Linked DNA regions of Sus scrofa. The protein of the gene in region 1 purifies or fractionates together with the protein of each later gene. This does not show direct contact. Links are inferred from orthologs where the notes say so. Each region holds a gene or a part of one and is shown on either strand. Other genes may lie near its edges.

What was found.
Region 2: the proteins of STAT1 (region 1) and PIAS1 purify together in Homo sapiens (affinity purification with western blotting; 5 studies listed by BioGRID). This does not show direct contact. The link is inferred for Sus scrofa from reciprocal best matches to the Homo sapiens genes STAT1 and PIAS1.

Annotation. Positions count from the first base shown.
Region 1 is NC_010457.5:95,611,717-95,615,540, forward strand, and holds part of STAT1 (signal transducer and activator of transcription 1), read right to left. Parts: intron 3,228-3,824; coding exon 3,092-3,227; intron 1,439-3,091; coding exon 1,389-1,438; intron 680-1,388; coding exon 585-679; intron 1-584. UniProt on the Homo sapiens protein: Signal transducer and transcription activator that mediates cellular responses to interferons (IFNs), cytokine KITLG/SCF and other cytokines and other growth factors.
Region 2 is NC_010443.5:165,994,962-165,998,785, forward strand, and holds part of PIAS1 (E3 SUMO-protein ligase PIAS1), read left to right. Parts: intron 1-1,101; coding exon 1,102-1,546; intron 1,547-3,824. UniProt on the Homo sapiens protein: Functions as an E3-type small ubiquitin-like modifier (SUMO) ligase, stabilizing the interaction between UBE2I and the substrate, and as a SUMO-tethering factor. Catalyzes sumoylation of various proteins, such as CEBPB, MRE11, MTA1, PTK2 and PML.

The DNA.
Region 1 (3,824 bases):
TTCACTCATATGTATACATGCTAAAGTCCTGGACAAGCTCATTAATATGGTGCCAGTAGAATACTACAGACAACCAATAAATACCTGCTGGATTAATTTCATTTTCTACTACAAAAATGTCTGAATTTATGCATCTCATAGCGAAGAGGAAGGCTCAGACAATCCATGTTCATATCCAAGACTTATGACCAGGTTAAAGCCTCTGCTGAAATAACAACTGACCCTGGGAACAAATTAGAAACAACTTACCAAGTTAAAAAAGGTTTTTCTTCTTTTCTGAGAGGCAAGAAACTAGGTGCTCAAGAAATTTTTGTAGAATGAATGAATGCATGAATTGCACTCAGGGCTTTCTAATTTAGCTTTGAAAATGCAAATAGACATATACTATGATAGGTATAGATTTAATCTTATGAGGGTCCACTATCATGAATACCTGAAGGGACAGCCTGTAAAACAGCTGTGTGTGTGAGATGCACATAGTCCTGTCAAGTAATGAAGTCTGTCTGGGTCAGGCCTATCCCAGCCTTGCAGTAGGGAGCGTGTGCTCAACATGTTTCAAGAATACATCTATCAATGGCCCTTACCCATCATTCCAGAGAGAGAGCAGGTGTTTCTTAATGAGTTCAAGGATACTTTCAATCCAAAGCCAGAAAGGAAAATTTTTGTCATTTATGTTTTCCTGCAAGTATACAAATGCACACATTATGAACCACAAAATCCAATACAGTGACTTACCATGCCTCCTCCCACCGTGGGATTTTAGTTTGCAAACACTGCCCAGCTGCCAAAGCTAGGGCTGTCCCCTCCAGAGAAGGCCCTCCCTCTTATCAGCATTCAGACACCAAGTTCTCCACTTCCTGAGCTGGGCTCTGCTTCCCTCTCCAAACAGCAGCCACCCGGCCAAGGAATGACCTCCAGGGTGAATCACGGAACATGAGCTGCCTTCATTTGCACTACTAATATCCAGTAGCACAAGCTTGTCAACACTGTCTGGTGACCCTAGTGGCGTCTGATTATTCCCCTCAACTGGTCTCACTGCTGGAGCAGACTCGGGCAAGCTCATCTGGCCCTGCAGGCCAGCCACGTCGGCACAGAGCGCATTCCTCATGGATGGGGCTGAAATGCCGCCAGGCCAAGGGCCACTGTGAGCAAACAGAAGACTCACTTCGGATATGAAAGAATGTTATCACACAGGCAGGTGCTTCCTGTCAGGCTCACACTTGGAGACTAACCTTTGGAGCTGAAGGAAAGTAAACAACTTGCCCTTGGGGTTCCATGGGTGAGAGAGGAATATGCCAAAGTAAGCACAGGGCGGTCAGCGTCACGGCGAGAACTCCTTTACACAGAGTGTAAAGAGCTCCAAAGTCTAAAGCCCAGACAGTACCCACCTTACAGAACCTCGTCCAGGGAATAAGACCGTCAGGGCCAGCAGTGGGACCTAAACAAATACAAATAAGCATTTTCAGGAAATGGAAATCGATTCTGAAGCTTTGGCTGGACTGATGGCTCTTGTATTTGCTCTCAGAAAGCCAACATTCAACAAAGGAAGGTTGTATGTACCTGGCTGAAACTCCCAGAGGCACTAATATTAATTACCTGCACTTTCTAGAGAACCTCCACCTGGTCCCTCTTTGTGCAGCATCGTTTCCCACTGCCTGCTTCCCTCTCCCTCTACTGTAGGCTCCTCTTCCAGGGACCCTACAGAGCTTTTTCCTAAGTTTGAACTAAGATGAAAGATGGGCCCCTAGGAGATCTATTTAACTGACACTTGACTTTAGAAGCTTATTTTAGATGATAGGCATGTCCCTCAGCCCTCCTCCAAATAGGACACGGGCTCAGGGAGATCGATGCAAATCAAATGCCAAGTTAGCGAAATGAGAGAGGGCAAGGAAGCCTAGTGGTTATCACTACAAAGTGAAGTGGCCCAGGCTGTAAGAGGCAGTGAGCCCACCATTTCCTCACAGAGAACCACAGATAAGCCATCACAGGTGGAAAAGATATGTCTTAATTTGGTGCAAATAAGGGATTTCTCACTTTTTACTAAAACAGCACAAGGTCCCCACTGTGACAGCTACATGGCCAAGAGAAGGCACTGCTGAGAGCCATTTGGTTAGGAAAAGCCTACTGGTATTTGCAGTACATGAAGCTCTGCTATACAGTAAGCAAATCCAGAGAAAAGGTACCCATGGATTTTTAAAGAAATAGTTCAGATACTCCCATGCACTGAAGATCTGACCTTGAGGCCAAGAGGTCTTGGATTTGCTTAGTGTGGAAGACTAAAAAGCCCATGACATTAGCTACCGACAGGGAATTTTCTAGCATGGCCGGGACCACATCAGGCACTGCTGGTGACAGGCATCCTCCTGATGTGGGCCGTGTCTCTGCCCACCTGACACAAGACACCTGGGTGTGTGCTGTGTGGGCGGCCCCACGACCTTATTCTTACCATGCTGGGGGCTTTTTTCTCCCCAAGGTTAACATGACTTTCATCTTTCTTATCAAAGAATATTCTAGCCACAAATAATACATTTTACATAACTCAGAAATCTTTCCCTTAGGAACTCTGCTCAGAAATGTTAATATGAGATAATGGGGAAATATTTCATTTTTTTTATTGTTTCTTTTGCTTTTTAGGGCTGTACCCATGGCATATGGAGGTTCCCAGGTTAGGGGTCAAATTGGAGCTGTAGCCACTGGCCTATGCCACAGCCACACCAGATCCAAGCCACGTCTGTGACCTATACAACTCATGGCAACGCCAGATCCTTAACCCACTGAGCGAGGCCAGGAATCGAACCCACATCCTCATGGATACCATTTGGGTTTGTTACCACCGAGCCACAAAGGGAACTCTGAAATAATTCATTTTTAAAATTTTTTATCAGGTCTGTATCTCCTTCCAAGGTGAGGCATAATTTTCACTCAGCTATAACAAACCGCAGCTATAACAAACCGCAGCTGGAAAAGCCAACAGATTTTTAGCACTCTTCTACCTTGAACAAAATAGAGAGCAAAGAGGGAAAGGGGGGCAAGTCAGGATATTTTTATGAATTTCAATGGTTAGATATACAAAAAGTTAATATGTTCATACCAAGAAGTTTCTCTCCCAGCATGTTCAGCTGGTCCACATTGAGACCTCTTTTGGTGACAGAAGAAAACTGCCAACTCAGCACCTCTGAAAGCTGAGACCATCGTGCACAAGGTGGGTTCAGGAAGAAGGACAGATTCTAGAGAGAAAACACCCAGAAGTTAAGAGCTACTAATGAGTCACCAGTCACAAGCTTGGCATTGAAAAGTGGAGCCGTGCCAGAGTTCAGTGCTAACCTCTGTGACACAGACATTTTCACAGCAGCAGAAGAGAAATACAGTCGATTCTCATTACTTGAGGATTCACATTTGTGAATTCATCTACTCACTAAAATTTAACTCCAGAATCAATACTTGTGGCACTTTTGCAGTCATCTGTGGACACACCCAGGCACACAGTGGTGAAAACCTTGAGCTGCTCAATATGTGCGTTTCCACGTGAGGTCAAACAAATCGACACTCTGCTTTCCTGTTCATAATCATACTATAGGCGGGTGTCCTTTTCGAGGTCTCTAGTGCCATGGTTTTTGCACTTTTGTGTGTTTTTGGTTGGTGATTTCCTTTTTAAAATGCCCCCTCCTGAGTGTAGGGCTGAAGTGCTGTCTGGTGTTCCTAAGTGCCTTAAGGAGAAAATGCATCAGATACAAAAGCTTTGTTCAGGCGTGAATGTGAGTGATAATGCTGTTGGCCATGAGTTCGATGTTAATGAATCAACAAATGTACTAGATAAGGAATCC
Region 2 (3,824 bases), on another chromosome or scaffold:
TCAAATATATTTGGCATATAATGGGTCAAAAAAAGTATAGGTTAAACCTTATAAATTCTGAAGTTAGTGTTGGATGTAATATCTGATGTTATTTGTATCCTGCCTACATCTGATGTTTGAAGTAGACTGTTAATGTAATTCACATATACTTATTTAATTTTTCCCCAAGAAAATAAATGTTCTTGAGGGCTCATTACTTTTTGCCATCCGGAATACACTCAGCACTGTCCTGGAGACTTAGTAAGTGCTTGATAAATACCTGAGAATTTCATTGTAACAGTGGAATGAGGTGAGATGTGGTTCTACGTGGTGTATACTTTTACATCTTATATAACACTAGGTAGAAGTCGGTGAATTTTTGAATATTTATTATAAATTTCTTTAGCTGGAGTTCCTGTTCTTTGGCTCAGCAGTAATGAATCCGACTAGTATCCATTGAAGATGTGGGCCCAGTTTCTGGCCTTTGCTCAGAGGGATAAGGATCTGGCATTGCCCTGAGCTGTGGTTTAGGTTGCAGATGCTGCTTGGATCTATCTTTGTTGTGGTGTAGGCCAGCGGCTGCAGCTCTGATTTGCAGCTCTGCAGCCTTCCTAGTCTGTGAACTTCCATATGCCACAGGTGCAGCCCTAGAAAGAAAAAAATAATAGATTTTTTTGGTTACGTATATTAAATGGCTAAATTTTAAGTTTGAATATTCAGACTACTGTATATAGAACACACTTGATCTTAGCCAAAAGGCAGAGAAGCAATTACTATATATAGAATAGATGGTAATGGGGACCTACTGTATATAGCACAGGAGAATTTACTCTGTACTGTATGGTAACCTATCTGAGAAAAGAATTTGAAGAAGAATGGATGTATGTGTATGTATAACTGATTTACTTTGCTATATGCCTGAAATTAACATAACTTTCTAAGTCAACTATGTTCCAATAAAAATTTTTAAAATATTTTAAGTTTGAAATAACTAGAATTGACTGTAAATGAGCTGACCTTTAAGCAAACCATAAGGAGAAAGTATTTATTATAACACTTTGTTTAATGTTGTAAATTATATTATTGGAATACTAATGTTTTACATTTTGTTTTGTCTCTAAGCAAATGGTTATGAGCCTTAGAGTTTCTGAACTCCAAGTACTGTTGGGCTACGCCGGGAGAAACAAGCACGGACGCAAACACGAACTTCTCACAAAAGCCCTGCATTTGCTAAAGGCTGGCTGCAGTCCTGCTGTACAAATGAAAATTAAAGAACTCTATAGGCGGAGGTTCCCCCAGAAAATCATGACGCCTGCGGACTTGTCCATCCCCAGCGTACATTCAAGTCCTATGCCAGCAACTTTGTCTCCATCTACCATTCCACAGCTCACTTATGATGGTCACCCTGCATCATCACCGTTACTCCCTGTTTCTCTTTTGGGACCTAAACATGAACTGGAACTCCCACATCTTACATCAGCTCTTCACCCAGTCCATCCGGATATAAAACTTCAAAAATTACCATTTTATGATTTACTGGATGAACTGATAAAACCCACCAGTCTAGGTAAGATTATTCTATAATGGTTATTTGGTTACTTTTGGAGGAAATATTTTCTTTTTCGAGTTTGACCCAATTTATTATTCATAATGACAATTACATTTGGTAGTAGCATCCAGATGGTAATAAGGATCTTTCAATTTTATTTCTTTTTTTCACTTTTTTGGGGGGAATCTTTCAATTTTAGACAAAATCAAGAATGTAGAAGCTGTCTTTTAGACAGAAAAAAAGTATATTCAGGTCTGCAGTGATGATTGCTGACACAGTAAATGTTAAAAAGTTTTCAAGAATATAAAACTTGGAGTTCCCGTCGTGGCACAGTGGTTAATGAATCTGACTAGGAACCATGAGGTTGTGGGCTCGGATCCCACATTGCTGTGGCTCTGGCGTAGGACAGTGGCTGCAGCTCCAGTTCAACCCCTAGCTTGGGAACCTCCATATGCCGCTGGAGCGGCACTAGAAAAGGCAAAAAGACAAAAAAAAAATATATATATATATATATATATATATAAAACTTTTTAAAGTCTTAACATTTTAGATTGTTGATTAATATTTTACAATAACCCTTACAAATTAAATAAATTAAAACCCAGTAATTACTATCAGTCTCTGAATTCACTTTTTAATTTTCAAGGGTTGATGACATCTAAAGCAAATTACTCTTTTTGATTCTTTAAATGAGTAAATGGTTTTAATTATTATAAAAGGATATTTGAACCCTAATATATAGTATTTCAATTTCAGCTGACTTTTTCAAATGGATGTGTGTGCTTTGCAGGGGCACACATGATCATATTTATATAATACTAATGAATACTTGAAATTTCATGTACTGTGTTCTACCATTTGATTTGTGTCTAGAATATGCTGTTAATAATTCAATGTATTAACTTGAAATTTTAATTTATATAATTCTACCTTTATTTAGGGTAGAATAAAACTTACCCTATTGTGATCTCTGATACTTTTGGTGTAAAATATTTAAAATATCAGACTTCCAGATGCTGGTTTGTTATTATAAATCAGTGGTTGGCAAACTATGGTTGGCAAAGCAGATGCATCCTGCAGCCTTTTTTCTGTGGATCTGAGCTAAGTTGTTGTTGTTGTTTTTTAATATTCCTAAAGAGTTATAAACTAAAACGAAAACGAAGAATATGCAGCAGAGATCATGTATCTGCAAAAGCTAAAATATTTGTCTGATCCTTACAGAAAAAGTTTTCTGACCCCATTAACAGATCATTAAACATTTCAACTTGGGGGGTTGGTGAGTGTTGAATTTTTGAGAACATTTACAGAAGCTCTTTGAACTAGGAAATGTTTGTTTTAAATTATATCAAGTAGAATACCTGAATAAATTAACATTATAGGAGTCATTTTCAAACAACATGAATTTTATGTCACTTTTTTAAAATAGCCATTAATAAGAAAAATTAACACTTGTTGAGAATCTGTCCTAAGTTTTTAAAACCTATACATGCTCATTATAAAAAATGAAAGTGCTGAAGTCCCTTCCTCATTAGCAGTTTAATATCTATGCATATGTGAGCAAGTTATGTTTCCTGTTCTTAAGCAGGAATCGTATTAGACATAGTATTCTCTGACATGCTCTTTTTTTTTTTTTTTTTTTTTTTTTTTGGCTTTACTAGTATAGACAGTTTTCCTTGTCTTATTCTTCATTTTTAATTGAAGGCCATATATACACAATTATATATATATATATATATTCTAGCTCATTTCTTATTAAAGACTGTGTTCTTTTCTGTGTTCTAAATAAGTCCTCTATTAAAAGGCATATTTTTCTAGTTTTTCACTGCCAAAAACATGCTGTAGTCAACCTCATCTGAAATTTGAAAGAAAAAAAAGATGTTAGTGGCTTTTATTTGATTTGATTCCCAGCTCTCAAATTTTTCTTCTGGTCTTAATAATTAATGTATCCTGTTTTCAGTTTCACTAATGTAAATTTCAAGTACCAGTGTGAATAGATGATGTTTACATACATATCTAATTTTGTTATGAAAAGTAGAAATGCAAACTAGAAATACATTATGGTTATGTTTGATAATATTTTAAATAAAAATTGAGCATTTTAAATTTATTTCACAGAGGTACTTTTCTTGAATATATGTTATGTCTTCATTTCTAATTGTCTATACTTTTTTTAAATGCCTTTGTAGCTTAATATATCATAATTTATATCTTACATCTTGTTGTTTTAATACTTTAGGGTACTTTATCCTTTTGAAATTTTTAATGTGTAATAGTAATGGGAAAATATATCTGATTT